Arabidopsis thaliana: one gene and its partners. The protein of the gene in region 1 interacts with the protein of each later gene in a pairwise test. Each region holds a gene or a part of one and is shown on either strand. Other genes may lie near its edges. The genes, in order: GAE5, AT1G49230, AT2G29180 and GPX5.

Region 1 (8,860 bases):
CTCAGGTTGCTATCCTGATTATTTCATCTATGATATTTTCTTGAACGGATCTGAATAACATGTGGACAAGGAATTTTAGATAAACTTACCAGCTCGGTTTCTTTGGTTTACTCTGATTTAGGTGGAGACATTGTCGAAAGATGATTTGGCTTCCCGGTTAACTTTAACTGTGGATGCTGCTTCCGTGGGATCTCTACTACTCTCTGATTCTTCAGTTACTATAATGGATGTAGGTTTCGATTAGCTATATACGGGACTTTTCGTATTATCAATGCAAGTAATTTTATCGTTGTCTAACAATGCTGTTATGTCTTCCAAATCAGACAAATGATTACTGCGCAATACCACAACATCTTAAAGATGAACTAACAGAGAGGTATCCTGAAGCAAGGAGAGCTTACTTAAAGAGTGGAGGAGATTTCCCATTCCTATCACGGCCCGACGAAGTCAATTTGCATCTACAGGTACATATCTACTCAGTATCTAAAGCCAAATTTGAAGTATACATATACTCAGTTTCGACAGCCGAATTTATATACTCCTAAGGCTCTTTTCAAGAAATTATGAACTTTTAAAGAAACTTGAAACTTCTCTACCTATTTTTTAGATTTCATACCGTTGAAGGGATTTTTTTTTCCAATCAAACCGGTTTTATTGCTTGGTAAAGGAACATCATGTTACTGCATCAAAACATTATATTCTTATGATGAATCTCACTCTTATGTTTTCAGCTACACTTAAGGCGGGTAGGAGTAGAACCACGACCCGAAGTGGTTAAAAGCATTCCAAAAGGCGGCGCAGATGGCACAGACGGTAGCAGCCAGAGCAAGAAGAAGAGTGATGAGGAGAAGGACGACCGTAACAACAATATGCCTCAAGACTCTGGAAGCTCATCTTCAGATCAATCACCGACATTTCCAGAAAGTTCCGGAAGCTCCAACGATCCGCCTTTACCCACAGACACCATTCAGTTACTGAGTTCATCATTGAACAACCTCATATTAGTTCAACTCGCTGGTGAAGTTTATCAGTCTTGTGTGGTTTTCACATTGTGTTACTGTACATTGGTTTTGGTTCACGGTGGTGGTTTTATCTCCAGACAATTGGTTTAGTGTTCTTTATTTATTTATTACCTCTTTTGTTGTTTAAATCTTTTTACTTTTGGGTTTCTTTGATCTGTTTTGGTTTCTCTTGACTTTTTGTATAAGTTTGTAAGACAAAGCAAGAGTTCTCTGTATGTTTCAAGTTATTACACTTTTGGAAGAAAACTTTGGTTGGGTTTTGGGATTAAACCAATGTGCTTTCTATTATTTACACATTTTGCTCTTTTAAAATTTAGTCGCTCATTATTTATTTGTTTTTATCTTTTACTGTATTCAAAACAATAACAGTAATAACCTAATGCAGTAGAAATTTGATAATTTTCTATGAACAGTGGTGTGTTTTGTTCCCTAATAAAGTTAAGGAAGAAAATTGTAACATTTACAAAGTTCAGGGTTATAGGTGTTATATTTTGTATTTCAATTCGTCTTCTTCTTTGCTCCAGATTGAACTTACATGAGAATCGCCGAACTCTAATCGGATCCGGGTCGGGTATGTAATGTAAACCGGGTTTTTTGAAGCCCCCATCTTCTCCGTCGATTTTAAAGATCCCGGCGATGTTTTCAAGATTTGTCCTAAAAAGTTGGAGACCTAAAACCCAAACCACATCTCTCAATTCAATCAAAGGTTTTAGCTTTAGCTCTAGCTCGATAAACCCTAAACCCAAAATCCGAGTAGGGGTTTGGTGGGATCTAGACAACAAACCACCAGCCTCTTTCCCGCCTTACGACGCCGCCGTCAAGCTCCGAACCGCCGCGTCGTCTTTCGGAACCGTGAAGCTAATGATGGCGTATGCGAATCGTCACGCCTTTAGCTACGTTCCTTTAGAAGTTCGAGAACAGAGGAAAGATAGGAAATTGCTAAACAAATTAGAGAACAAAGGTTTAGTTAAACCACCGGAGCCTTACTTCTGCGGTGTTTGTGACCGGAGATTCTACACTAACGAGAAGCTAATTAATCATTTCAAGCAGATTCATGAGACAGAGAATCAGAAACGTATGAGACAGATTGAATCTTCGAAAGGACATCGAAGAGTGAGACTTGTGGCTAAGTATTCGATGAAGATTGAGAAGTATAAAAGAGCGGCGAGGAATGTTTTGACTCCGAAGGAAGGTTACGGTTTAGCTGATGAGCTGAAACGAGCTGGTTTTTGGGTGAAGATGGTTAGTGATAAGCCAGATGCTGCTGATAAGGCGTTGAAGGAACATTTGGTTGAAGTGATGGATAAGAGAGAAGTGGAGTGTGTTGTTTTAGTGTCTGATGATTCTGATTTTGCGGGGATTTTGTGGGAAGCTAAGGAGAGGTGTTTGAGGACGGTTGTGATTGGAGATTCGAACGAAGGTGCGCTGAAGCGAGTAGCGGATGTTGCGTATTCGTGGAAGGAAGTGACGATGGGGAAGGCGAAGAAGGAAGTTGAGAAAGTTGTGGGGAAGTGGAAGGATAGAGATGTGTTGAAGAAGTTGGAGTGGACTTATGATCCTGCTTTGGAGAAAGAGAGAGGTGGTTCTTGCGGTGTTTGGGATTACGAGTTTGATTATGATGATGAGATTGAGAATGGAACAGAGGTGGAACCTGTGGAGATTGGTGATGGTGTTGACTGGTGGAAGATCGATACTGAAGATGGTGTTGGATCTTCAAGAACTTGTCGATAACATCATCGCATATGTCGTGGTTGATTGCGCAGAGGAAGATAACATGGTATAGGCTAGAGAACAATCTTGTGAATCTATTGGCATATTACATAAACTTCAGGCTAGAGAACATTCATTGTTTCTTGTTATAAGATTATGCAGTGATTTGATTTGTTCTTCCAAACCATCATCGTTAGTCAAGTGATTAGAGCTATGTAAAAATTGGTCAGAATAAGAATAAATATATGTTTGAATTCACAAGAAACAAGTGACAATAGATTGAATTACTACAGAGTATATGCATCAAAATCCAAGCTACTTTATTCCTCCGACATGATGGAAAAGACAATTGAGTTTCGACAATTGAAACATCTAAGTGATGAAGCTGTACATTGCTCAAAATCTACTAACAAATAAATGAAGCAAAATCTAGCAACACAGAAACAATGCAGATACGTAAGTGATTTTTCCTGGCAATGCAAGTGCTCGGTTTCAAAAGCTTAACCTAGAGCGAACTCCAAGCTCAACAAGGGGAAACAGAGACCATGACTTAAGCAGAGAGACAGAGCTCACCAAGAACTCTTCTTCTTCGAGCCAGTGTAAAAACCCATATACCATTTCACAAACTTTTTCAAACCCGTCTCAAGATCAACCGCAGGTTTATAACCGAGCTCTGCTTGCGCTAACGTGATATTGGCATGAGTAAACTCAACATCCCCATTCCTCGGTAGAGGCATGATCTTTTTCTTAGCTTTCATCTTCAAAAGCTTCTCTAATATAGTCACAAGCTTAGTAACAGGAACAGGAGAAGTATTCCCCAAATTATAAATCCTAAACATAGCAGGACCTTTCTTCTTACCACCACTACCAGTACTCTTCTCAGCAGTATCTAACGCACCTAAACAACCTTTTACAATATCATCAATGTAAGTGAAGTCCCTAGCAACACTACCTTTATCAGGAGATTCAAACACAGTAATCGTCTTCCCTTTAAGAATATCTTTAGTAAAGAAGAAATACGCCATATCTGGTCTACCCCAAGGTCCATAGACAGTGAAAAACCGCAAACCCGTTAACGATAATCCGTAGATGTGATTGTAAGTATGCGCAATTCCTTCACCTGCTTTCTTCGTAGCTGCGTACAAACTCGCTGGTTGATCGGTACGGTCTTTCTCCGAAAAGGGTACTTTCGAATTCAGACCATAAACAGAGCTAGAGGAAGCCCAGACTATAGCAGGTTGCGGATTCGCTGATTTCGATACTTCTAATAGATTCACAAACCCAGCAATGTTACTGTTAACATATGAGCCAGGGTTTTGCATTGCGTAACGCACACCAGCTTGAGCAGCGAGATGCATAACATGTGTGAAGAGGACAACATCAAAGAGCTTTCTGAGTAAAACGGCGTCGTTTATATCGCCTTCGACTACGAAAACACCTGATCTTTCTAAAAGGCCTTGTCTTGCTCGTTTAAGCTTTGGATCGTAGTATCGATTGAAATTGTCGAGACCTAGAACACCATCGCCGCGTCTTCGTAACGCGATCGAGACGTGAGTACCGACGAATCCGGAAGCTCCGGTGACTAATACCGTTAAACCGCCGTGAGACCTAGGACGAGCGGATTTACGGACTTGTTTCTCCCAGTGAGAGCCGCCGTATTTCGCGGCGGAAATGGAGGAAGAATCGTTGAGATTCCGGCGAGATGGTGACGGAGGAGGAGATAAAACGAGGTAGAAGAGGAAGAGAGCGAGGAAGAGAGAAGCCCAAAGGGTGAGTTTTGAGAGACGGAGGTAACGGTGGTGGTGGAGAATCCCGTACGGTGGAACTTTATCGGTTTTGTACTTTCCGGGAGTAGAAGGAAGATCATCAAGGTGAGACATTTTCACCGGAGGAGGATTTAGAAATCGGAGAAAATGTCGATTAGGGTTAGGTTTGGATTTTTGGGTCTTAAGGAAGCAAAATTGAGCAAGTCAAAAATGAGAGGATTTTCCGGGAAAGAAGAAAGAGACGATCTTTTACTTACTTGTTGTAATTAAATTAAATGTGGATGGTTTAATTTGGTTAATGATGTAAATTTATTTATTTGGTTCAATCTTTAAGATATGGTAATAAGAAAGCTGCCAGAGAGTATATTTAGATTCATGAATTTTAGATTGCTTTTCAAAGTTAAAACGTGTTTGTAGATTGTTGACATTTGTATAGTTGTATTGCATTCTATATTGATCATGTTATGCATGTACTTTTGTACACGATCACATATACACTATTTTTACACGCAATAATTGTTTAATAATATTTACTACTTTTGCTTTTAACTTCTGTATTTCTTTGTTCCGATTGATAATAAAAAGAAAAATTATACAATAACAAAAGGTTATAAGAAATGTGAAATAACGGGGGTAATAATGATAAAAATAGATATAAAATCGATCGTATCATGTCATATATATAAATAATATCTTTCGGGATTAACTTTTTTTAGTTCTAATTTATATCGATTGACAAAAAAGTAAATAATACAAAATCGGTTATTTTTGAGGAATTTTATTACGAGTTATTTTTTATTTTATGAAATTGATCTGTTTTTTAGGAGGTAAACAATAAAATTGCATTAAAAAATGTAGTGATTTTTTTATTTTTTAATAAGAATTTTCTACTTATAATGTGAACAATACTATGTGGATACATGCTAGTATGTTAGCAATGTGAACAATATTCGTGATAAGTTAAATATTATTTTAATTTAGTTTATGATTGTTATATCTCACCTAACCATTATTTTCGACATCAAACGAAAATTAATGTTATATATTCCTAGTGTCATAGTAAAAGCTTTAAGAAATAATCCACATTTAATAAGATATACAAATCGTAATATACCATATAATCACGCAACACTGATATTAATCAGCTTAGTATAGTTAACCTATCAGAAAATTGATCTCTTTATAATAAAATTCTATTTCTTTATGGTAATAAGGAGCCAAATCAATTACTACCAAAATATCGGTTATGCCATATACAGTTAATTTGTAATTACTCTGGTTAGATTAGGATATTATCAAAATCAAGATTGACTTTGTCCTTCTAGCGATCATTAACTAATTTTACTAGAGCATAACCGGCTGGGTCAAAGAAATTTGCTTTTATTGCACAAAATTCTAAATTTATTTCAAAAAATTGTTGTTTGACGCTTGTACTAATTATCAAGCTAGTCCGTACACATCGTCTGATATACACTCATTTGGTTGATAGGAGTATTTTTCTCCTAGTCCTGGGCGTTTGGGTATTCGGTTCGGGTTCGGATCGATTTTTTCGGGTTCGGATTTTTCGGAACTATAATTTTAGACCCCGTTCGGGTATTTGAAAACTTCGGTTCGGGTTCGATCCGGTAAATTTTGGGTTTGGGTAGGTATTGGTACTTCCATTGAAAAATCCAAAAAGTAACCGAATATTATTCGATACTAGTTTATAACTACTATAATATACCCGAACATACTTGATACTAACCACATATACCATAAAACCTGTAAATTTGTAATAAAAAAAACTTAAAGTAAAATCAATAAAGCATGACATAATAAAAGTTTCATACGTTCAACCCAAAAAGCAAGATTCAAAACATCCAAATAAAACCATTCAAATAGAAGAAAGAAGTTCAAATCCAAAGCAAGACATAAAAACATCGTTTAGAATCGAATCCAAAGCATTCAAAGTAAAGAAAGAAGTTCAAATCCAAAGCAACATCCAAACATGATAGATTCCCCATGACTTGTTCCTGTTACATCAAAACCAAATAAGCTCAGTTGAAAAATAAAAAACCATAATAAACATTAAACCATAAACCAAGTAAAAGTCAAATACGAAATGATCGTTGATTCATAAGTCTAGTATATTAACATTGAGCTATAAACCAAGTTCAGAAGTAAAAGAAAACAAAATGGAGTGATGAAGTTACCTTGTAGTCGTTTCCTTGATTAGTCTTTTAGTCCAAATTCACTTCAGTTTGAAACTCTGAAAAAGATTCAATCAACACCCAAGTTGTGTTAGAACATAAGAGAGTTTTCAAACAACATCTAAAACTAAAACTAGTAAACTACATAGATAAAGTTACCTTTCTCAAGCTTATCAAGTAATTCTATATCAGCAAGAAGTTGTGTATTTGTTAGAAAAGTGTTTTCACTCAGCTTGATTTCACTTTTCAACCACTGCTCAAGGCAAACCAAAGTCTCTACCATATAATGAGTAAGGCAGCTTCTACTTGGCTCCAAAAGACGACCACTGGTGCTAAAAGCACTTTCAGATGCGACATATGACACTTGCATTGCAAGTACATCTCTTGCAATTTCTGATAAAACTGGATACTTCTGACTATTGAGTCTCCACCAAGACAAGACATCCCACTCCATTCCAGGAAGAGTCTTAGGATTTTCTACCTCTGCCTTCAGATATATATCTAACTCATCTTTAGGATCAGTAACCCTAATTTCATTAACCATCTCTTTATAAGACCTGTCCATCCTTTCAAACTCAACATTACTATCTTCAGCTAACTCACATGCAAAAATATCTCTGGCAGCAGTAGATGAAGGCGGATTAGACTGAGATGATTGTGTGTTTGGTCCCTTGAAAATAACAGTGTACTCCTTCAGCATAGCCTTCATGACATCATAAACAGAATTATACATCTCCTTGGCTTCTGAAGTGTCTACACCATAAAGTTTCTCAAAGCACATTTTAGCAAATTCCATTTTCTGTCTAGAATCAAACACACTAGCAATTATTTTTGGATATTTCTCTTAGTTAGTTTGAAGGTTCACTTTATTTGTAATTTAATGCTTTTGATAATTGGAAGGGTCGTGGGCTCGTACATTTCCTCGAGCTATTTGTATTTTACTAGCAATGTATGTCAAATATTTGGTGTACTTTAACAATTGTTAGAATTCAGTTAACTATAAATCTACATATGTCATATTATTATGAAAATTAGACAAAACTAGGGGGTGTTATAGGTTTTCTGATTTAAATAGAGTTTTAATGAATTAATAAAATATTACATAGAATCTGTTGTTGTTCAATCAAGATTCTTATAAAGTTTGGTGTTATTAATTTTAAGATTTGTAAATAATGATCTAAAATCTTTGTAAATTTGGAGTAATTGGATTCATATTTTTATAAAGTCATAAAAAGTTTTGTGTTATTCAATCAAACAAAAGAATCTATGTTTGTTAATGAATTAAGTTATTATGTTATTGTTTATAACTTTCTACACTTTTCTTCGCAACATGAAGTCATAAAAAGTATCATCAAAATAGAAAGATTGTTTGAGAAACTTTACAAGATTGTGAAAAACTAATTAACAAGATTATAGAAAAGTCTCTAACAATAATTAAAAATATTTTATTTATTTATTTTATATGATATTACTAAAGTCATCAAAATTTCTTGTAAATTAAGAACCTATAACATTGCTTTAGTGTTACTTTGATTAAGAGAAATTAATAAGTTCAAATTTCTGTCTAAGAAAAAAGAACAACAAGAAATGAAGTTCAATTAATAGTGAATCCAATGATAATAATTAAATAAAATCTTATCTTCTTATAGTGACAAGGTCTTACAGTTACCCACTCGACACAAATTATTATCATTATATATGTATGCTTAGCACATGACCAATTTTATTAACACAAATTTTACCTAGATCTCTAAGAAGTAAAGAACACTTTAAAACCTATATTTTTATATATCTTTGTGTTTTAACTCATGGTAGACACCGAGCTGTATTCAGATAGGCCGTTTAATGCAGACACCTCTTTCAACATCTTGATAACGTTAACACCATCAGATGTGGGTTTGAGTAATATGATAACGTTTTCAAAAGAGATAGTAGAAACCAAAATGTTACCTTTACTGCCTAAGAATCGTTTCATAGGTTATTTGGACTTTTTTTATTTTGAAACTAAAATTGTAACAACTCTTACTGTACAAGAAGATGCAAATGGAGATTTTCAATTTCATGGATGGAGTATGATTCTCCAACGAAACAATTACAAGACAGACGATATTATAGGATTTTGGTGGGATGCCAATAACTCTAGATTTAATTTTTCAGGTACTCATGATCGCTT
Region 2 (7,770 bases), on another chromosome or scaffold:
TGAATTTTAAGAGATGGGAACTTTTGTATTGTAGCTACCAATTATTTATGTTTTTAGTTAAAAGATTAATTGAGGTGTCATGCAACATTACCACTTATGTGGAGAGTCCAAAGAACCCTAAGACCACCTCTTTGTAACTTTGTTGCTTGTCATCACTTATGTAACGTTTGGTTTTTATCTTTACCAGCCTCTTTCTTGGAGTCTTTACCATTCTGACCATCTAGTACAGATTAGCCATGGGATGAATAACCGATCTGAAATAACCAAATTGGGCCGAACCAAGATTTTAGCTGTTCGCTTTGAAAAGTTACATGTCCTTAACAGATTGGTTAAATTTGAATTTTACTTCAATTAACCAAGTATTTTGCTTTAGTTCAGTTATCACTTATCAGTTAACTAAATTATATGTTGTTTATAACCAGATTATACCACAATTATACCGTTTTTTACCAAATTTAAACTAGTTTCCATCGATAACCTAGCCAAAATTAAACTACCCGAATCTAACCGAAGAACCAAAATTATTCAAATATAATTTAAAAATCGGATTAGAAAATAATCAAATATTCGGTTAAATTACATTTTGGGGATAAAATTTATTTTTTAGTTATATATTTTTGATCTATATAAGAGAGTGGATGGATATAAACCACAAATATATGTACCTACAATAATGAATCCAACAAAAGGTAGTTACAATCCACATGAGGTAGGTACCATTAAAAGAAAACTACAAAATCTTCTATTTTTGTTACGAGGGTAAATAGAAATCAAAAGATGTGTAGAACCCAAGAAACTGTCATAACTAAACTTTTAACGTTGGTCCACTAACCGGAGCAAACCGGTAGAAAACCGGAAAAGAAATAGCTGTTGTGAGATGGAAATCCAAAAGTCAACTTTATGAACCATGTGTACAGCACATGCCGAGAGAAAATTGAGTTGGTAGTACTACCCTTAAGAACGTTGTGCCCCATCATTATGAAACTACATTACTCATGATCATGACTATATTAAACTGACACTCCATTGATATATAATAATACATATATATAAGTTATATGACCGGCCACGTTTTGATATAATATCGGAAAAAGTCAATTAACAATCTTTTTTGTTATTCTTGGTTTTACAACATGGGTTGTGAATGGTTACGGCGGTTGGGGCGGACACAACCGTCAATGGATCAAACCGCTTTTTATTTTTCATTCATCAATTATAGTCCGCAGTGGTCCAAACAAAAAAAAAAAGAAAAAACCCGCAGCGGACCATCTGCGAACTATTTTTACATACAAATAAACTTGCTCCGCAACGGTTTATTATCCATCCCAAAAATGAAATGGACTAAACCGCAGATAAATTAGACCGTTTTGTCCGCTGCCTCCATTAATAGCCTATGTGTTTTTTTCTTTTCTCATGTGGTTGTAAATAATTTCTTGTAATGAGTGGCTCACCACATTCATTATAACTTGTTAAACCAAATGTTTATAAACTATAACCAACAAAGAGATATTTTAAAAAATCCCTTTCTATTTTGATATAAGAAAAACACCCGATTTAGGAAAAATGCTAAATGGGCTTTATATAAATGGGCCCGTTAAAAGCCGACCCGAGTGGAAACTATGGAAGATCCGATATTGGTTTCAAGAGAGAATTTCTGAAAATCATTGGCGCCAACAAAGCGAACAATCTCTGAACATTGCTACTTCGTCGTCTTCAGCAGATCTTCATCAACGAATACGGTAAGAAAATTCCCCATTTTTCACATAGTTTTCTGGGTATTTTCGTACAGCTTCATTTGAACTTCGTATCTTTGTCTCCTTATTGTCAATTTGATTGGAGCGAAACTTGATTTTTTCAATTTCATGTACTCTTGTTTACTTCTTCTTGTTCATTGTTTAATCCCGATACGTAATTAGTTCAGAAGATAATCTCATTTGGTTGATGCAAAGTTTCCCCATTTTGGTATCTAGGGTTTACAATTTCGTTCGTCCACCTCATAACTTGTTTATCAATTTCTTTATTTGGAGATTAGTGACCATATTGATGGGAGTTTCTAGATTACTACTAAGGATCTCTCTTTAGCTAGTCAGTAAAGTACTGTTACACGTACTGCTTTTTTTAAAGTTCTACTTCTAAGTAATTGATATTGCAGCTCTTCATAATCCATTATCTATGAAATTGATCTTGGTAAATGCCGGTTGTTGAATTATTGTGGTCACTCATTTTCTTCATGTGGTCAGTATAACATTGAACCTCCCCTTTTAGTATTATTTGATTTGACCATATGGTGGGATTCGTCCTCGGACCCCATTCGCTTTGTGCTGTTTCTTATGGTGGTGACCTCTCTCTCTTGTTCTCCTTTCGATGGATTATATTATTGCATGTTTCTCTCATTTGTGGGCCTTGACATTTTTCTCCGGGGCTTCGCATTGTCACAGCCTACAACTTAATTTGTTCAATAACAAAGCAAGAAGACTCTTCTACCTCTGGAAGGGTACATTATGTTATTGTATGATTTATATAAAAGTGTAGTAACCCTTATGATAATCAGTAAAATAAGCTAGTGGCAGAGCCTGACTTTAATAACCTTGAAACTTCATAATGGTAAAGATTATGACATCTCTCTTTAGTTGACTAAGTGTATTGGCCACCTCCACTAAACTATTGCTTTAAGCCTTTCAGTGATTTTCCTTCTCATCATCCTGTACATTTGATTTTTGAATTGTTTATGTTTTGTTTTCCAGTGTGAGTATTTGCAGATCTAATGAAATTTTCCTTTATTGGCTTGTAACTGTGAAATATAAACATTTAGTAGTTCAAGATATGAAGAAAGTAACATTCTCGTAATATTTACAACTTTACAGTTGAAATGCTAAACTTGTTTTTAAGTGTAGACCGCTTGTAATCTCAAATAATTCTAAAACATAGTAGTTTAATCATAGCTGCTACAAATATCTAGGTGACTAGTTCTAGTTCACCTAAACCAGCGTATCCATCTTTCCGGTTCTAGTGGTGCTATTTGGAGAATGATGCTGTCTTGTGGTGGTTGAGTAGAGTTTAACGAGCTTGTTTGGCTGCAGTCGGCAATCTTCTCGCATGTCTGGATGAGGCAGTGCCTGCAGGTGGGACAGGACGAGTGTGAACTAAGCCACTTGTCTATACAACGGACATGGAATCCATGGTGGCATGTCGGCAACAGCTTCACACGTTCCTCGGCTACAAATTCCGAGAGACAGATAGCACACTCGGTATCTAAGCCAGGCAGATTTAGTTCAGTAGAGTAACTTACTGTCTGGAAACTCTTCAAGGCTTTTCGTTTGACTCCTGTGTTGGTCAAGCGAACAGGATAGTTGTCACCACCAGCTTCAGATGGTACTAAATTGGAGCACCTCAAGGCACATCTTATTATAGAATTGAGTCCAAGTGAGCAAACAAGTGCACATAAGAGGACTGATAGGACCATAACAACATTTGCATCAAAGTTGTTATCGCCTACATATGGGGATGGTGCTGGAGTTGGTGATTGATCATGGGTATGAAATAGTAATTTTCTTGAGTAAGAACTTCCAAGAATTTCTTGAAAGATCTCAGTTGGTTTTATGGTGGAAATGGAAATGGAAATGGTAGTGCACATGATAACTTAGTTTTAAGATAGATTGGTGGCTTTCTGTGTTTCCGTTGGAGGTTGTTTATATAGAGTAAAGGTTTGGAGGCTAATTGTTTATATAGAGGAAAGGTAAAGTTTCAATTTTTTTTCAGATATTTAATGAGGAATTTTTTTTTATATATTTCATTTAGAAAAACTTATGGTTGGATGAATAAGAAGCTATAAAGATCAAGCTCACATTATGGACCTTTACCTTTAGTGTCTAATTTTATAAAATCATTTGCAGCGTAATATGCTTTGTTATATAAAATGGGTCCATCATACCAGTTGCTGCAATAGTAGTGCCATGTGGCTGTGGCCTTAGCAAATCATATCTCCCAGAATTGCTTCTAGGGACCCATGAGCTTTTTAACTGGAGCAGCCATGAACTTTCCCTATCTTTGATATAGCAGCATTCAAATATTAATATCTCCTGGCTCATTTTACTGATATCTCACTGTTCCTTGATATTAGCCTGTTAGGGCTTATAATATATGTTTTCTACTTATGGTCTTGATGAAAACCGAGTTTCGGTAGATAGTTCTGACCCAGTGATATATCACATATGTGTCTAACCTGTAAAGGAGTTTCTCATATATAAAGCAAGGTTTGATTTAACTTTTCTTTTCTTTCCCTTTTTGCTATTTTTTAACAGTGGTGGAATCTTAAAAGTTTTGTTGATTTTGTGCGGTTTTGAGAGTGTACGGATGAAATATTTCCATTTAGTGAACTCTACTTATGTTTGGGGAACAGGAATCCACCCCATTCGTAGTAACTCAAGTTGTCCATAGAGTAGCCAAAAGGACAAAGCCTCTCCCAATCAATCTTGTTAAAGGCTACTTTTATCACTCTCATAGCATTAGTATCCACCTCCTGCTTTTTTTTCAGTAAACAGTTTCTCTCTCTCTCTTTATCTTTACATGCCTTTGTTTTAAATCAGAGGTAAAGGAATTGGTCCCACGGATGAACGAATAAAAAATGATTCTTTTTGTTTGCTTTATGAGATATCTTCTTCCATTGGTTGCAAATTGCGAGGGAAATCTACATGAATCTAGTATCTAATGTTTTTCTTGTAGCTCCAAAATCAAAGCAAGATTCTTTGATATGTGCTTTTGTATAACATTGTTTCTTGCTACTTTCCTAATAGCTGGTTTAGTGAAACATTAGATTAGGGAAGATTGTGTATCTTTGGGATAAAAAGTTGATGTTACACAGTAGGAGATGCATCTTTTCTATCTTTTCTCACCAGTCTCACTCGGAAATGGATTCCTTTTTTCTTTTGTCTGTGCCATTAGGTTACATATAACTGGTACAAATATATATAGTGGTCTGTTTTCTTGGTACCTTCTTTAAAGCAAATAAACTTTACTTTTGTTGTGTTATATGCTATAATGATTCGTTTGTTGGGAATATCTTAATTTGATACTCATTCACTTTAAAACTGCAGGGGTAACATGGATGAAGATGAGAAATCTGAACAGACAGAAAGATCATCCAAACTAAAATTGGTCATTCACCGTTTTTTTTTTTGAATGATGGAAGTGAAATGTTACCAACATATCGAGGTGAAATCACACGACACGACTTAAGGTGAAATAACGCAACTTGGTGAGAATTTGAAATATTTCTGAGAACATTTTTGCTGGATGCATTTATGATTTGGAAATGGTTTTGGATCCAGTGGGTGTTAAGAGCCATAAGAAAAGTTTCAGAAACATTTTAATTATAGTTCTCTTTGGCTAGAAAGTTGAAATACTGAAACACAGAGCTTTAGTCCTGTCTTTTAATCATTTATGTACCATTATTGACTTTCTTTGGTGGAACCTATTCTTTAATCATTTACTCTTTGGCGCCATTTCTCAGTGTTCATCTTTTGGTGAACTTTTGATTAAATATATATTTGTTCTTAGTTCCTGCTAAATATCTATAAAATATCTTTTTGGTCATTCTTCCTACTAAATATCTGTAAAGTAAATATTTATTTGATCATTCTCCCTACTTAATAATTTCTTTCTGTCAAGTAAATATCTATTTGTTCATAGTTCTTACTAATATCTTTTTATCTTTTTTGTCTTGTTCATGGTAATTGCTATTTTGATGACTTATGCGTGTGGATCGGTTTTGAGGCATATAGATTAATTATTAAGTGGGTTGATTCATGTAGATAGATGTAATTTTGTTTCACAAACTTTGTGCTTTTGTCATTATCAAGAGTACATGGGACCAGGTCTGGACCATAATTCCATATGGTAGACTACACACTGCTTCTTCACACAACTAACTCTTGGCATTAGTTATTGGGAAACCATTTATTCTGTCTAGTGACGTTTTGGTTCAGTGTACTGATATGACACATAAGAATATACGACCAGCACTTATCAATCTTTGGTTATCAGATGAATCTTGATGTTTTTGGATAAGATTGCAAAATTCACATTCCACCGTAAAAATAGTTTTACAAAGGAAGTTTGATGGACTCATGAGATGCTACTGAAAATGAAACATAATCACTCTGTATACACTTTGTGCTACAGGTAAAAAGAAAGTCATAAAAAAATTAGAAGTACAAATTCTGAATTGCTGATGGTTTCTGTCTTTCTTTGCATCTAGCTGATTTCTCTAATAGTGTTTACTCTTCCTTCAGGTTCTAGCGGAGCAATCATGACAATAACGATCTCTGTTGGTTCTAGAGGAGCAATCGTGACAATTACGATCTCTGTTGGTTCTAGAGGAACAATCGTGACAATTACGATCTCTGTTGGTTCTGCCGTAACTGAATCAGCTTGACTGAAGTCACCTAATATCTTTTGGCACGTCTCAACCAGACAGTTTCTGCATTTTGGACAAGTCAGATGTTGTTGAAGCCACTTGTCTATGCAACGAACATGGAACCCGTGGTTACACTTGGGGAGCAGCCTGAGCTGTTCACCGGAAACAAAATCAGACAAACAAATGACACACTCTTCGTCAAGCCCTGGCAGGTTCATCTCAGGTGAGTAACTCACAACTGGGAACATTCTAAGAGCTTTCTTCTTGATTCCTTTGTTTGATGAACCCCGTGTTGACGAAAGACTTGGTACAGGCTCGGAGATCATGAAACGTGTAGAACGTCTGAGTGCACAACGAATGATGTAATGTAACCCGAGGCAGCAGATAATGCCACAAATGAGGATTGAGAGAAGCATCATAACATTCCCACTGAGGTTGTTCTCATGGGTTATGAGAGGAGATGGTGCAACCGCAAAGGCTCGTTGAGTGTTGTGGTCAAATGGGTTGTGCAGAAGCAGCTTTCTAGAGACAAAACCGCCAAGGAATTGTTCTTGGAAGGCTTGAGCTGAAGAAGGTAACTCATTTGCAGACATTTTTACTCTTTGAGAAAGCTTAAGGTCAAAGTCGCTTCTCTATGCTTTGTTGGCTTTCTTTGGTTATTGCTTCTTAAGTTCTGAGGAATTCAAAGTTGTCTTAAATATAGCTCGAGATGCTTACTGATTACTGTGGGGACTGAGTATTTTATCTAATACTATTTTTCTAAGAAAGTGGGGTTTCTTCTTTTTAGTTTTTTTTTTCTTCAAATGAGACTTGAGTGCTGATTGTGCCATTGGCCCATACCTCCTCCAACCCTAAGATGCTTGTGTATAGGGACTATCACTTTTCCAACATTAAATTTGGAAATCATTTATTTATGCCCGACTTTAAATTATAAAACTTTGTTTTATCATTTTTGTCCTGTGTTGAGTCTTGATAAGCTAGATTCTATTTGATTAACGTTATTATATGTTTAAGTCTGGGTAGTATTTGCAAATTTTATTCTGATAATTCCCAAGTATCTAAATGTCTGCATGTATATGGTTCTCTTGAGGTGAAATAACATGAGAATTGGAATATTTCTGGAATACTCAAGTAAGAGTTTGGATCCAATGGGTTTTAAAGTGTCATTAAAAAAATTTCAGGAACGTTATAAGTAGAGCTCACTTTTGCAAGAAACTGGAAATACTGAAACACAGAGCTTTAATCCTGTTTTTTTAGTTATGCATGTACCATTATTGATTTTCAATCTATGAATTTCTTTGGTGGAACCTATTCTTTAATCATTTACTCTTGAACGCCTATTCTCAGTGTTTGTC
Region 3 (7,488 bases), on another chromosome or scaffold:
CTCCAGAGGGCTTATCTTGGAGCACAGAAATCACAGTACGGTGTCCCTTACAAATCCGGGAGCCCTAACAGCCACACCGATTATGGGAGTCCAACATTTGGGTCATATCCTGGCAGCCCATTGGCTCATCATCTTCTGCCTAATTCTCTTGTGTCACCCTGTAGCCCTATGAGACGAGGTGAAGTTAATATGCGATATCCCTCTGCAACAAGAAACTACGCAGGAGGGGTAATGGGTTCCTGGCACATGGATGCTAGTTTGGATGAAGGCTTTGGATCTTCAATGCTTGAAGAGTTCAAAAGTAACAAAACAAGAGGATTCGAACTTGCTGAAATAGCTGGCCATGTTGTAGAGTTCAGGTATTCCCTTGAATGTCTTTTATCTTTTTTCTTGTGTACAATTTGTCCCAAGCTAACGTGTACTTGGGGATTTTCATGACCAGTTCGGATCAGTATGGAAGCCGGTTTATTCAGCAGAAACTCGAGACAGCAACAAGTGATGAGAAAAACATGGTTTATGAGGAGATCATGCCACACGCTCTTGCCCTGATGACTGACGTTTTTGGAAACTATGTGATTCAGAAGGTAGATTTATTTAGTCTTCCTCTTTGGTTTTATTTTAGAGTTGAGATAAGAGATTCCTGAATTTTGCTTATCTTCCTACAGTTCTTTGAGCATGGACTCCCACCACAGAGAAGAGAATTGGCAGATAAACTCTTTGACAATGTTTTGCCTCTTAGCCTACAGATGTATGGTTGTCGTGTTATTCAGAAGGTATGTTTTACTCTTCTCTTTAAGTCTATCTTCGATTCTCAAAATGGTTTGCTATGTTTATAAGTCTTATCTTCGATCCAGGACAGTTAAGAGTTTTGTTATGTTTATCCTTTTAGGCAATTGAGGTGGTTGATCTAGACCAGAAAATTAAAATGGTGAAAGAACTCGATGGACATGTGATGCGATGCGTACGTGATCAGAATGGGAACCATGTGGTTCAAAAGTGTATTGAATGTGTGCCTGAAGAAAACATCGAATTTATTATTTCCACCTTCTTTGGCAATGTTGTGACCCTCTCCACTCACCCATATGGGTGCCGAGTTATTCAGGTTCTTGCTCTTAGTAATAAAGAAAAATTACACAGTTCTTGATCTTATGCTTCTAAGTAAAACACTTCTCGTCTTATGTTGCAGAGGGTATTGGAGCACTGCCATGACCCTGATACTCAGAGTAAGGTTATGGATGAAATCATGTCAACTATTAGTATGCTGGCCCAAGATCAGTATGGAAACTATGTTATTCAGGTTTGTTAAAAAAGAGTTATACTACAACTGGTTATTTTGTATAGGTTGCTTAAAAACTAATACACGTTTTGTTGACAGCATGTATTGGAACACGGAAAGCCTGATGAGCGTACTGTGATTATCAAGGAATTAGCGGGGAAGATTGTTCAGATGAGCCAACAGAAGTTTGCTTCAAACGTTGTTGAGAAATGTTTGACTTTTGGAGGGCCAGAGGAACGGGAATTTCTGGTAAATGAGATGCTGGGCACAACTGATGAAAACGAGCCTCTTCAGGTTTGTCAAACACATACTTTCAGATGATTGTTGGAGAAAATAAAGAAACTATTAGCTCATAAGCTTCTTCATCTTTTGTATTTAGGCGATGATGAAGGATCAGTTTGCCAACTATGTAGTGCAAAAAGTTTTAGAGACATGTGATGACCAACAGCGTGAGCTGATCCTTGGTCGTATTAAAGTGCATCTCAATGCTTTAAAGAAATACACTTATGGAAAGCATATCGTTGCTCGTGTTGAAAAACTCGTTGCTGCTGGAGGTATGTTTAATATGTTCTTTGGCTCCAAAGTTTCGACCTTTACCTGCTATAAACCTTTCAAATTGTCTTCACTTCGTTTTATTTGTATCATCTTACTTGATTGAAGAGACTTCTATAAGGATTGGAGAAAGAAAGACAATATATTGCGTGTCAATGTCTCTAAGTGGGTTTTTTCTCATATACAGAGAGGAGGATGGCTTTGCAGTCCCTAACCCAGCCTCAGATGGCGTAAGGCCGCAAGTGTTGTACAGCTTAACTAGGGTGGATGGCTCTGCCATAGCGTTTTGAGAATTAGGTAAAATCTAAACCGGAAATAATCTGCGGGAAAATTGTGAAGGAGAGCTTTGTTTTCTCTGCAAATCTGTAAAATTGTGTAGTTGCTTACGGTTTTTCTATACATAGAACCAAACATCCCACTTTAGGCTGATGAGTAAGAGAGGAAATATGCAGAGAATGGTGTAAAGGTGGGCTGAGGTATGGTGAGGATTTTAGGGTTTCCTTTACACGAAAGAGAATGGCTTTTTCATTGCCAAATGTGTAGAAGTGAGAATATGTTCATGCTTTTAGGACAATCCTAGTGTTTAGAGTTTTTTCTCCATCTATGTAATTTGTTTCATCAAACTCTTGTTTCCTATTTCACTAGTAACTCTTTCGTTTCTGTAATATTGCAATATTTTTGTTATATCGACCATCAAGTTGCTTGGTACACAAGAAACATATCATAGATGTGACAATCACTGAGCAACATTACAAACAAAATCAATCTTTGTCTCTCTACTACACACAAAATCACTCAAGATCAATGTCGATGTCATCATCTTCAATCTTCTGACCAAAACCTCTTGGTCCAGCTCTGGCTCTCATTGCCTTCTTCTTCCCACCTTTCTTAGACTTCTTTGCTGCCTCGTCTTTCTCAAACTTCTCTCTCTCCCTCTTCCCAAGAAACTCAGTCACTCCAATGTACACAACCTGTAATGAAATAAAACCGGTTTAGAGACTCACAAACCGGGCTTCAGGTTTGGTTCTGTATTTTGATTTGACATAGTTTATGGATAAGATTGGTTTTGTGGATAACACTTACACCAATGGTGAGAACCGTGAGAGCAAGAAATGCAACAAAGAGAAGCACTTGTATAATCAAAGCAACACCATCTTGTCCACCACTAGACACAACTGCTCCAGAAGAAGAAGATGAATCAGAAGAAACGATCTCTTGGGAAATTTCTTCCGGAGTTGCAGAGACTCTCCATAGTTGGGTTTTTTCTTGGTGAAGACGAAGAACCCTAAAAGACAAGATCTTTCTTCTTGAAACAGACCAAGAGAGTGGAGATATATGGTGGCCTTTAACTGGAGTTTGGAATCTTGGTCTGAAATTTGAAAGAGATAGAGATGGTGTTGTTGTCGCAGACATCTTTCCGTCCACTCCCACACTCTCTGATCTCTTCAGATTCTGGACATAACCCACTTCTGTTTGGTTACATCCAACGGTTCATGTTTTCTTGAGATTGAGAACAGATTATTGATGGGCCAAGAAAAGCCCAATATATTATTTTCGTGGGCCTTATATTTCTATTAGTTTTTGATTATGCATCATTAGTTACGCCATCATCACTAAACTACAGTCTTAAGATTGTTTACTTTGATCTCTAATTTTTCTACCCACCACAACAGTCACAACGTCAAGAGATACGTTAGCTTTCCTCAATTTCTTCAAACAATCTCATAGCCTCGTATCATTAATTCATCATAAATAGCCATTTTTCATTATCATTTCTCATCAAAATACATCATTACACAACAATGGCTAGAGCAGAACAGAGCTCAACCCATGTTACATGGGGTCTTTAGTTTTTCTCAAACAATGAAACATGAGTCGATCCCATGTAGTTGGGGCTTAACCCTTAATCGAGGCCCATTATTTTGAGTAACCTAAGAAAAACATCAAAAGGCCTTACTGTGTACGAACGTCATTACTCATTATTATCATTCATTCATTCATTATGAATTTTTCTCAACCATAAATTCAGATCTCCAAGAAAATATCTTTGGGTCTGTGGCTCATAATCAGAGGTGGCTAAGACATTCAGACAGGGGTTTCAAAGGACAAAGTTAAACAATTCACGTAAAAGTATCTTTGGCCACCCTCACGACTAGTCTTCCACCTCTTGGCCTTAAATATGTGACCTTCATTGAAGAAAATAGTATCCAGAAATGGCTAAAGCAGAAGAAAACTTGAGAGACAAATGTAGATGGAGCCTTGGAGGCATGACCGCTCTCGTTACCGGTGGCTCCAAAGGCCTCGGGTCAGTCCCCCTACTAATCCAATATTGAATACATTAATATGTCATATTACATATTTGCACGTGTCAATATGTATACAACTGTGTTATGAATAGGGAAGCTGTGGTGGAGGAACTAGCCATGTTAGGAGCAAGAGTCCACACATGTGCTAGAAACGAAACTCAGCTTCAAGAATGCGTACGTGAATGGCAAGCTAAAGGGTTTGAGGTCACCACTTCTGTATGCGACGTTTCTTCTCGTGACCAACGAGAGAAACTCATGGAAAACGTTGCCTCTATCTTCCAAGGAAAACTCAACATCCTTGTAAGTTTATGTATAAGAGCATAATGCATAAGGTTTTGAGCAAGATCAAGTGATTTTTTTGTTGTGTATTTGTTGGAAGTGATCAAGTCATCATCTTATTTTAGAAGAGATATATTATATAGTGAAGTAACTGGTTTATATATATTCGTATCACACATCGAAGAGATACAAATATAATTGTTAACTACAAAACAGTTACATGTGTGTATGTGTCTCTACATTAGGTTGTCTTCTAGAGACGTGTCCCTTAGTCAAAGTGTGTCATGTAAACCTATAAATACAGTTTGTATATGTAATAAAAGTGTGTGGTTTTCGTTTTATAAAAACAGAGTGAAATATAGAGTAAGACAAAACAGAGTAAAATCTGTGTTGTCCGATCCTTAACAACTTTGAGAGTTCAAAGTTCTACATGGTATCAGAGCTATGGAGACAACAATGCAGCAAGTTATTCCAATCTTCAATGGTGAATCGTATGGCTTTTGGAAAATCAAGATGATAACCATCTTGAAAACAAGGAAGTTGTGGGATGTTATCGAAAATGGAATTACGTTGAGTTCGTCGTCTGAAAACTCACCGGCGTTAACTAGAGAGCGTGATGATCAAGTGATGAAGGATATGATGGCTCTTCAGATTCTTCAAAGTGCAGTTTCTGATTCAATATTTCCGAGAATCGCTCCGGCATCAAGCGCAAGAGAATAGATGGAGTTCCAAGGAAGTTCACAAGTAAAGATGATTAATCTTCAGACCTTGAGAAGAGAATATGAGAATCTGAAGATGGAGGAGAGTGAAAACATAAATGATTTCACAACCAAGTTGATTAATATGAGTAATCAACTAAGAGTTCATGGTGAAGAGAAAACCGATTACCAATTGGTTCAAAAGGTTCTTATCTCCTTACCGCAACAGTTTGATAGCATCGTTGCGGTCCTTGAACAAACAAAGGATCTATCAACTTTCTCTATGACAGAGATGATAGGTACTTTGAATGCGCATGAGAAGCGCTTGAGTCTCCGAGAAGAACGTATCAATGAGGGTGCGTTTTATGGAGAAAAGCTTGGCTCAAGAGCAGAAAACAAGCAAACAAAAATCGCCATGGGAAGACCAACATGTGGTGCAGCGTGTGTAAGAGGAACAATCACAATGAGGTAGACTGTTTCAGAAAGAAGAGTGAAAGCATTTCACAAAGAGGTGGAAGCTATGAAAGAAGATGCTATGTGTGCGACAAGCCAGGACACATAGCCAGAGATTGGAAACTTAAAAAAGGTGAAAGAGCACATCTAAGTAGTGAAGAATCAGAAGATGAAGAAGAAGATGAGTGTCATATTCTCTTTAGTGCTGTTGAAGAAAAAGAGATCTCAACAATTGGAGAAGAAACGTGGTTGGTAGATAGCGGATGTACCAATCACATGTCTAAAGATGTTAGACACTTCATCACTTTGGACCGCAACAAGAAAATTACCATAAGGATTGGTAATGGTCGAAAGGTCGTGTCTGAAGGCAGAGGAGATATAAGAGTATCCACAAACAAAGGAGATCATGTCATCAAAGATGTACTTTATGTACCCGAACTAGCAAGAAATTTGCTTAGTGTCTCTCAAATGATATCCAACGGATATCGAGTCATCTTTGAAGACAACAAGTGTGTGATTCAAGACTTAAAAGGAAAGAAGATCTTGGACATCAAGATGATGGATAGAAGTTTTCCAATTCGTTGGAAAAAATCTAGAGAAGAAGTGTATGCGGCATTCAAAGAAAAAGAAGAACAAGGAGGAGGGAATGATCTAAACGCTCAAATAGATCAAAATTTGGAGGGAGCAATGAATGACGTGAAGTGGATAGAAGACATGAGAGAAGAGTTGATGATGATAGAAAAGAACAAGACGTGGCAAGTTGTGGAGAGACCAAGCAATTGGAGCAGATCAGTTGAGGACAAGAAAAATACAAGTGGCTATGTCTTTACTTCTGGATCAGGTGCATTTTGTTGGAATTCTAGCAAACAGAAGAACGTTGCTCAATCAACGACCGAGGCGGAACTCTTTATCACATCAAGGTTCGAAGTTCTACGAGAAGAGCTAGACGTAACGATGAAGCCATGATCAAGGAGGAGTGTTGGAAGTGATCAAGTCATCATCTTATTTTAGAAGAGATATATTATATAGTGAAGTAACTGGTTTATATATATTCGTATCACACATCGAAGAGATACAAATATAATTGTTAACTACAAAACAGTTACATGTGTGTATGTGTCTCTACATTAGGTTGTCTTCTAGAGACGTGTCCCTTAGTCAAAGTGTGTCATGTAAACCTATAAATACAGTTTGTATATGTAATAAAAGTGTGTGGTTTTCGTTTTATAAAAACAGAGTGAAATATAGAGTAAGACAAAACAGAGTAAAATCTGTGTTGTCCGATCCTTAACAACTTTGAGAGTTCAAAGTTCTACAGTATTGTGGTTGCTTTGGGTCTATTATAAATATATAGGTAAACAATGCGGGAACGGGTATAACAAAGCCGACCACAGAGTATACAGCACAAGATTACTCATTTCTGATGGCTACAAATCTCGACTCAGCTTTTCATCTCTCACAGCTCGCGCATCCTTTGTTGAAAGCATCTGGTTCAGGGAGCATCGTGCTCATGTCCTCTACTGCAGGGGTTGTACATATCAATGTTGGTTCCATCTATGGAGCAACTAAAGGTTTATATATACTTTAATATATACTCAAACTATTAATGATCCTTTTACGTTCTGAGGCTAACATATAAATGAGTATTGTACATATATCTACGCGTTGTAGGAGCTATGAATCAGCTAGCAAAAAACTTAGCATGCGAGTGGGCAAGGGATAACATAAGGGTTAATTCTGTCTGTCCATGGTTCATAGCAACTCCTTTAGCTAACATTGTAAGGCAATAAAATGAGAAAAAAAATACAAAGATCTCCTTAATACTAAGAAATTTTATAACAGATGAATTTAACTTATGCCAAAATCTCTTAATTAGTATCTCAATGATGAAGAGTTAAAGAAAGAAGTGGAGCGTAAGACACCA
Region 4 (8,624 bases), on another chromosome or scaffold:
TGGGTTTGATCCGATCGTAGTAGATCTCGAACAGGGAAGGGTTCATTTCAACAAAGCTCTTAGCTTTGAAAGTGAGACGTAGCCTCTCGCGCCGTTTTTCGAGGTATCTGAGAGGAATGACTTGACCTGGCTCGTTCAGGACTTCTTTCACAACCCGAGCACAGAGCTTGTAACGCTTGTCCTGCTCGATGGCTTCGTCTAGCCTCGTGTCTTTCTTCCATACCACTTTCAGGCTCGAGATCCATCGGATTTGAATCCCTAAACTATGTTCTTTGGCATGTTTCAGAGATTTGATGATTTCGTAAGAAATGGTTAAGTTTCTGAGCACCATTCCTGATTTGATCTTAGCAGAAATTAGGGTTTTTCGCCGGAGCGTGAGAAAGAAATATGCCTTTAAACCCTGAAAGACCAGAACTACAAGATCACCACGCGTGTTAAGAGCAAGTTTAAACCACGCGCATCGTTTTTGAACTTTTTGTTTATCAAGGCAAATGTTTTTAGCACCAATCAAGAAGACAACACCATATTGTGGTCTTTTTTGTTCTTATTAGTATCTCTATTTACAAAACAGAACTTCCGATTGATGACCAAATGACAGTAGGTATCGATATTTTCGATGATTACAATTAAAAATTTACATTATGGTATATACGTTTAATTAAATAGCTAGTTAATTAGTTTGGAACTGAACTAATACATAACCAAGAAGAAAGGAATTTGGTGATTGATTATATCATATGTATATGGATCAATCATGGGAGGAGAGAAGAAAGACAGCACATTTCCAGATGATGTAAAGACGAGCCCTTTGCTCCTTTATCTGCTTCGAACATCTTTTCCATGTCCTAACCTTGGTTACACTAGTGCAGCATCTCAATACTACTGTCCCTGCCATTGAGATCCTATATATCGAGAAATTTTCAAAGTAAACTATTCGTGTGTGTGTGTTTGGCTGCTAGAGAGATAGATTGCTTATATACTAGTATACATGCTGACTCGAACTCGATTCAAATAATTTGGCACATAGTGTAGAGATAATTTGGTAGATATAATCTAAAATGCAAATATAGGATAAAATTAAGATACATTATTGAACTGAATAATATGGAGGACCTACATGTTTCTAAGTGTGAAGAAAAGGCATGATGCTTTCACCATTAGCTTCGCTTTTGAACTAAAACCTTATGTTTAGTTTCTATCATTGATTAAATGTTCGAAACAATTTGGTATCATTTTTTTTTTCCTTTTTTCGAAAAAGCTTATCATGTTTTCAAATTTGATTTTGCGGTGAGGATATTGTTTGAACAGAAAACTTCTGTTCATGCACACATGAGTCTTAATGATGGAGCCTGTGGTTTGTGGGTCTTTATGTCTTGCTGTGTGTTAGGTGCGAATGGAATGATTAAATATCTCTAATTTGGTAGTTAGGAAATGTAATTAAATAAATCACGATCAACTTCTTAATTATGGATTTGCTTACGAGTTTAGCATGAATGTTACGTTCATCCCACCACATCACTCATTTCATGCCATTGACTATAAGCTTTGGAATTGATCCAAATTGGTATCAGTTAAACTATTAATTAAGAGGGTTTCCGTTTCTAATTTCATTGTGTTGTTAAAGAAGAAAATTGTATGCTTTCATTGTATAATTTCCCTAAATTTCTCACTATGCCTCAACTAAAGCACCGAAATGGCTACACCAAAGCCCTTGAATGTATTAAGCACCATAGCAAAAACGATGCAAATAAAAGGCAGTGCAATGGTAGTTGAGCCAGAACCTAAAGGACGGGGCTCTACACAAATCTCCAAACTAAGTAGCTTTGTTCGGGTCACGTAGACTCATGGAGGAAAGCTCGGGGCTTGCTCACTTTCGGGAGTAGTTGGTATTGGTCCCTATCTTCGGTTTTGAAAACTCTTGACGGGATACCCAGTGCTAATCGAAGAAGAAGAAAAAATGTAAATATAATACACAGAGAAAAAATAAAATGGAAAAGACAGTACACTAGTTGTAATGTCTAATTAGTGATTATGGGATAGGTGGGTCGTTTGTTCACAAAATAAAGCCATAAAAATGGTTAATGTTAATAATATCAGTAGTTTGACTAATCTCTAACAAAAGCAAAAGAAACTGATAAGACAAGAAAGAAGAAGGATGGATGCATGAAAGAGTGGTCAAGGTCTCCTTTTAAGTACTCCTTTTTTCTCCTTTGTACTCTCTATTTCTTCAATTGTCTGCCACGTTTCACAAACAGCGCACGTGAGAGTGATACGCCACTTATAATCGATACATTACAGATGGAAAGAAGTTCTCATTGAACACATGAGACAGATTTAAACATTAATTATCGTCGAAACTGAGTAATTTGCACCATAAAAAGTAAATGGTGAGAGTGATAGATAGACTAAAATGTCTTTTGGTATCCTAAGACGTTGTTATAGGCGTTCTCTTGAGTGAAAATCATTGATGTTTTATTTTGATCTTGCTGATTTCGTCTAATCTTTAGCTTAGCTGGTGGTTTGTATTTGTTGGAATTAGTTTTTTTTTTTCTTTTTTTTATGGGTTCAAATCAACTTATTGGAATCACCTTTGATCAAATTTCACAAAAGAAATGGCTAGTAGAGTTACACATAAGATGAATACAAGGCCCATATGGAAGGTGCAATGGGAAATGTAGAAACTTGACTGCATGACCGAGAGTATGAGAGAAGTTTCTTCCAAAGGAGTCAAATATCTCTGTGCGTGTTCACAATTCTTGTGCAAGGGCTTTCTCGATGTCTTTCTGTTATGCAGAAAACAAACATGAAGTAAGCCATAAAAGAGTGATATGATTTTATAATAGAATATGAAGAACAAGAGAGTTAGAGACCTGGATGGATAGAGGTGAAACAGTTGTGCCATAACGATCAATGACTTGACCATCTTTGCCGACCAAGAACTTGGTGAAGTTCCATTTGATACGACTTCCAAGAAAAGAGGGTTTCTTAGATTTGAGGAATTTGTAGACTGGTGCAGCGTTTTGTCCATTTACACGCACCTACACACACACATAGATGATCATGATCATTCATGCTTAGTTATAAACTTACAAAATCAGCTACCTATTAAAGGCATATGAAGAAGAAAAGTGTCTTGTTTGTTGAGGTACCTTTTGGAAAACAGGGTATTCAGCCTTAAAGCGAGTACAAGCAAATTGATGAGCCTCTTCGCTGGTGCCAGGCTCTTGGGACAGAAACTGGTTGCAAGGAAACGCCAATACCACAAAACCTGATGATGATCCAAAGGAAACCAAAACAAAAAATCTTACATAAACGATGAAGTAACAAGGGAAAGCAAAAGAAGAAGAGTCTTCTTTATTAGAAAGGAATATATACATTCCTATTCTAATATTCTTGTATGGTCTGACCTTGATCTTTATATTTCCGGTAAAGTTCCGTCAGCTGGGTGTAATTGGACTCCGTGAATCCGCTGTTCCCCAAATTGTTTGTTAACAAAAAATTTAGAATCAAGAAATAATAATTAACTAGAGAGAAGATGATCGGAGGATCTGACGGACCATTTAGAAGCGACGTTGACGACGAGCAGCACTTTCCCTTGATACACGCTTAGGTCAACCTCCTTGCCGGAGCTATCCTAATTTCCGATAGATCAGACAAACAAGTCAGAAACGCATTCATTCATCAGATAAACAAACAATGAAGAAAAGGGATTCATAAATTAGAAAACCTTGACGGTGAATTGATGGATTGATTTCTCCGACACAGATGATGATGATGAAGCACCCATCTCTCGATCGATCTCTATCGCACAGAAGAAACTAATTAAAATTATTTGAAGTCAACAGGTCTCCGCTTCTTCATTGTTCATTTTATCTCGCAGCAGCATTACAGCTGTTATGTTAATTCCTTGGTAACAAACAAACCCATCCCTAATTGTTTTTTCCATTTGCTATTTAACTAATTAATCGCCTCTTTGACCATTTTTTAGAGACATCTCATCTCTCCAGGTGACAGAAATGCATATTAGTGTGTATTACCACCACTCCCCAAAAATAAACCAAAAAATTTTGTTTACAAAATATCAAATGCCTAAATCAGTGACAGTATTGCCTAACTCAAATCTCTCTCTCTCTACTACAACAAATGGCTTTTCACGACTGTTTCTTTAGCCTTCTCCACGACGTTTTTGGTCATATGTACACACACCAACTGTGCCTTTTTTCTTTTGTATATTAACATCTCTCTCAAGTGGCCCAGGTCTTTCCAACCTACACTTGTTTCTCCCTATTTCTTCTTTTCCATGACTATAGCCCAAATGTCTTTCATTTAGAGCAGACTGCACCTTTGCCCTTCTTCATCTCTTGTCTCCCACTCACCTTTGATGCCACGTCCCTGGATCTGCATATCCACAAACATACTCCAAGTTCATTTTTATATTCAAGATATACCCACAGGACAAGCAAAACAATCTCGAATCTCAGAGACCTAATGATATAAAATCCCCAGTCAAAAGAAAATGTCAGAGTTTCTAAACCTAGGAAACAATTCCAGTATAAGAAAAGGCTCTGATTCATGACGTGGAACAAGTATGAATTTCCATATTACCTCTCATTCCTACTGGAACAGGACCTTCCGAATGCTGCTTATAGTGATAAGAGTGTCTATTGTTATATGCACGCGGAGAATCACTCCACCTATTGTTCTGCAACCTTCCTGAGTCACGGTGATGCCCACTGTATGAGCTCGATTGATGAGGTCCTTTGTGTCTGTCATGATATCGTGGACCTGCAATATAAAAAAAAGAAAAGCATTCACGCCTATTAGCATCCATGAGCAAGTGCTTGTGTGCGCAGATATGCATTCATATATGCATTCATATATGCCTATTAGCATGCATGAGAATTATAAGGAAAAAAAAAAAAAAGGTATCGGAGTCCACCATGAGAAGAGGGCGGATGATATCTCCAATTGTCTCGATTCTCGCATGGTTCAGGCCTCATTCTCTCATAGCTGTCTTGATAATTCCTTTCGTCAAATTCCAGTGTGTAATGAGATCTGTGAGGGTATGATAGACCTTCTCTCCGCGACTTTATATGGTGGTCCGGCTCCATATATGAATAATGATGTGATGGCGGAGGAGGTGGGGGATGAGAAGATGGATATGGCCTATGCTGGAAGTTAGAACCCTCCCCACGTGGCATGCTTTTTGACAAAGATACTCGGGAACTATAAGATGGTTCAGGACTTCCGTAATGCATTGGGGGATTCATCCTTGGAGGACCGGCATGATAGTCGCCCTTGAATATTAACCACAAATTAAGTTATTAACTATGTCTGAATCCTCACTTTGTTAACTGCAAAAGATTCTAAAAGAAGAAAAAGGACGCACCTGCATGCTGGGATTTCTGCGGTAGTCAAAGCCATTTGAGTAGGAATTAGACATTGCCAACTGAGCATTCTGCGAAGGGCGAGCTGGTGGAGATGACGAGGTAACATTCTGATGTGAAGTTCCAGGGACAAGCAGACAATTTGCAGACTCTCTATTATCAGCTTGATCTGTGATCGCACTAGCACTGCTTCCACCTTCCCAAGGTGGAGCCACGTCTTCCATTTCAAGCTCACCATCAACATCTTCCAGTATACGGGTATGCCTTTCGGTAATGGACGGTGTGACATGTTCTTCAAGGCTTCTTGACTCGTGTTCAGGGGTGACAGACTCAAAATCACCCCCATCCGAGTCACTTCCTTCGTCTTCATCCCTAAGTATTGGAGGTATGCAGAATCCATGAAGCTGGAGAGTTGAATTACTGAAACAAAAAGGTGAAAAAAGTTATGACCCTAGAGATAAAGAAATCAAGATCCCAAAACTGATTAGACTCAACTCTCACCTTCCATATTCATCCACCAGTATACCCTCCATATCTCTAACAGGGTCATCCAGCGCCCTTTCTGTTCGAGCGGATCGCCGAGAATAGAGGCAAGCAGGAACATTACTAAGCGAATCAAGTTCTCTTATATGGTGACGAACTATAGATTCAGGAAGGATCCGTCTTTCAAGCCAAAGCCTCAAAACCTATATAAGAGCAGAAAGGGTGAGAGTTAGTATTCATAAGAAAAAGAATATCTAACTAAAATCGCATACCTTCAAGCACTGTTTTCGGTTTTCTTGTGTGGTAGCTCCAGCTGGGACAGCAGCAGTTAATAGGCGAGGTAGCATAGCCTGAATGGATGAAAGATAAACACCACCAGCATCACCTGAATAGAAAGGTAGTATTCACAAAGTTAACTCGCCATTGAGAACATCAATGATGCAACTAAGCAAAAACAGCATACTCACCATTCAAACCTTTGGAGCACTGAGCAATAGAATCCACAAGGAAAAATAAATCCACCCTCCTTTGTAAATTTGACTCACTTTCCAAAGTGTGGGCCAGAATTTCCATCGCCTAATTTTAGACATAGAGATTCTTAGAGCATCATTAACAACATTAGACAAAAGTCTGCAAAATAGTGTTTTATAAATTACACAAAAGCACCGTGCAAAAAGTCCCTTTCCACATTAAAACGGTAAGATAAGATAATAAGGATTGCCCTAGTCCTTTGCTTGAAAAGAGTGGCTGGATGCCTACAGCATCCTAAAATCAGTAGACAAAACAATATATATAAGGTGTTTCTCTAATTCGTAGTAATACATAAAGTTGGTATTGACAATTTGACATGTTCTCGCAATTAACTATTTGATAAATGCAAATAGGTATATAGCATGGGACAGATCCAGGTACAATGTTTTAACAATCTATAAGAAGAAATTTGTCTCCGATTGGATTCCACCTCTAATTAACATGTGGCATCCACAAACAGATAAGACAAGATCACAAGCAGAGAGAACGTTTCATACCTTTGCTGAAACGCCAAATTTCGCCAAGTCCATAGCCAAGCGAGTTGCTCGGCCAATGGTCTCCTTTGTCCTCACCAATGAGTCAAGTGCAGTCTCAAAAGACTCAACAGTGCATTGCACATCAGAACTAACAACTTTCTTCACCTGAGTTGTGCCTGTTTCAACTTTGCTTTCTTCTTTGACAGTGTCAACATTTAATGATTTGTTCTCACCATACTGAACATTGGTGCTGTAATAACTGTTGTTCTGCATAGCATTTTCACTTTCTGCGGTAGAAATTCGGCATACTGAGTTGCAATTTGGAGTACCCCTTGCAGGAGATGAATTCAATTTTTCACGTGAAAAGTTCTCAGATACTGAGATAGAATTGGTGGCTTGCATCTGCTCCTTCTGCTCATCAACCTCACAACTGCCAATGCACACAGACATACCATACTGTTAGTCAACCAGTTCCGTGAATTGGAAAAACTTGACCAAGATAAAGTCTGAAGAAACTTAATCTAATTGATGTTTTGCTTAAACTCAATATGCATATCCTCTACATAGACTTTCAAAGCAAGAGAAAATTTAAATAGGAACTGGGAATCTTCAACTGTAAAAGGAAAATGCAAATTACAAAGAAAGAAAGAAATAACAAAGAAATGGAATTTTATGTCAAAAAGTGAATAGATAGATTCCTAGTCATGTTCTACATCAATCTGCCTATGAGGACTCCATGCATAAAATATTCCAATGTGGTTAGAAATTGAACACATGATTGTAATTAGAAAAGTTTTTCTAATAAGGAAAATCAAAAAAGGAAACAACATAGAATCAGAGGTTAGTATAGGAGTAGAGACAAAATCAGTAGACTCACCTCTTTTCCAGCTCTCTGTTCTCCACAGCATCTGCACAGTGACTATATACAGTTTCATACTGAGGTTCCGCATCATCTACGATCATTTCACTTTCAGTAGCAGAGAGTACTGGATTCTGTATCATGTGAGCTTGTTTGTCACTATCAAGTTCTTTACCGGGACTTCCTTGGTTTTCTTTCCAAAGAGTATTTTCAGTCTCCTGCAGGTTTTCAACCTCCTGATAATTGACCACTGAACAGAACAATGGAGGCGGCGGTTCTAAGGCTTGGGACTGAACAACCTGAGTCATACAGTAATCAATTTTCTCACATTTTCCATTAAGAGAATCTCCAACAATGACCAATGAATGGTCACTAGAATCATACTCCTGGATTTTGTGTTGGTGAGGAGATTGAGCAGGTACCACTGTTGTTGTCATATCCAAACTCGAGCATAAACCGGGGGACTTATTTGCAGATGAATCAACGATATCAGGATTCAAAGGGGTTTCATGTTTCTCACTTTGATGTGAGCATTGTATATCAATAGGATCAGTCTCACTAATTAGACAGTTCCCAGTTTGCGATTCCTCAGAACATCCCTGAACTACTTCAGGAACACGAGCTTCTGTTTCTACCAAACTGCTAAGTTGGTTAGATTGTGCTCGAGTTACTTCATCATCTAGTGTCATGGTAAACTCGTTCTCATGGAAATTCACAGCCGTTTGTCTATCTCCTACAGTCTGAACACAGGCCACAGAAGGAGACATTCTGTCTGAAGGTTTCTCCATATGAGAAGGCACTACATCAACCATAACACCTGAAAGCTTAGCAGACAACTCAAAGCTGTTAAATTCTTCGGCTGCAGAAGTATCATGACCAGAACCAATA

What was found.
Region 2: the proteins of GAE5 (region 1) and AT1G49230 interact in a protein complementation assay, tested with the Arabidopsis thaliana proteins (one large-scale study listed by BioGRID).
Region 3: the proteins of GAE5 (region 1) and AT2G29180 interact in a protein complementation assay, tested with the Arabidopsis thaliana proteins (one large-scale study listed by BioGRID).
Region 4: the proteins of GAE5 (region 1) and GPX5 interact in a protein complementation assay, tested with the Arabidopsis thaliana proteins (one large-scale study listed by BioGRID).

The regions. Positions count from the first base shown.
Region 1 is NC_003075.7:7,286,237-7,295,096, forward strand, and holds GAE5 (UDP-D-glucuronate 4-epimerase 5), read right to left. Parts: upstream 4,885-8,860; 5' UTR 4,613-4,884; coding exon 3,302-4,612; 3' UTR 2,956-3,301; downstream 1-2,955. Other genes in the region: AT4G12230 (alpha/beta-Hydrolases superfamily protein), read left to right, coding at 1-5, 122-229, 324-464, 732-1,112; AT4G12240 (zinc finger (C2H2 type) family protein), read left to right, coding at 1,659-2,753. UniProt on the Arabidopsis thaliana protein: Involved in the synthesis of the negatively charged monosaccharide that forms the backbone of pectic cell wall components.
Region 2 is NC_003070.9:18,205,184-18,212,953, reverse strand, and holds AT1G49230 (RING/U-box superfamily protein), read right to left. Parts: upstream 3,761-7,770; 5' UTR 3,635-3,760; coding exon 2,975-3,634; 3' UTR 2,777-2,974; downstream 1-2,776. Other genes in the region: AT1G49225 (uncharacterized protein), read left to right, coding at 3,807-3,809, 4,302-4,336, 5,094-5,164, 6,291-6,415, 6,499-6,642; AT1G49220 (RING/U-box superfamily protein), read right to left, coding at 6,253-7,008.
Region 3 is NC_003071.7:12,538,834-12,546,321, reverse strand, and holds AT2G29180 (uncharacterized protein), read right to left. Parts: upstream 3,390-7,488; 5' UTR 3,242-3,389; coding exon 2,912-3,241; intron 2,800-2,911; coding exon 2,620-2,799; 3' UTR 2,487-2,619; downstream 1-2,486. Other genes in the region: PUM2 (pumilio 2), read left to right, coding at 1-359, 443-584, 666-773, 890-1,102, 1,187-1,297, 1,376-1,570, 1,656-1,830, 2,016-2,062; AT2G29170 (NAD(P)-binding Rossmann-fold superfamily protein), read left to right, coding at 4,042-4,133, 4,227-4,458.
Region 4 is NC_003074.8:23,305,324-23,313,947, reverse strand, and holds GPX5 (glutathione peroxidase 5), read right to left. Parts: upstream 4,212-8,624; 5' UTR 3,788-4,211; coding exon 3,728-3,787; intron 3,635-3,727; coding exon 3,558-3,634; intron 3,470-3,557; coding exon 3,408-3,469; intron 3,269-3,407; coding exon 3,150-3,268; intron 3,039-3,149; coding exon 2,871-3,038; intron 2,784-2,870; coding exon 2,748-2,783; 3' UTR 2,551-2,747; downstream 1-2,550. Other genes in the region: AT3G63090 (Ubiquitin carboxyl-terminal hydrolase family protein), read right to left, coding at 1-331; RTFL14 (ROTUNDIFOLIA like 14), read right to left, coding at 749-895; AT3G63070 (Tudor/PWWP/MBT domain-containing protein), read right to left, coding at 4,373-4,398, 4,606-4,785, 4,940-5,297, 5,390-5,807, 5,889-6,073, 6,143-6,255, 6,338-6,446, 6,899-7,307 and 1 more. UniProt on the Arabidopsis thaliana protein: May constitute a glutathione peroxidase-like protective system against oxidative stresses.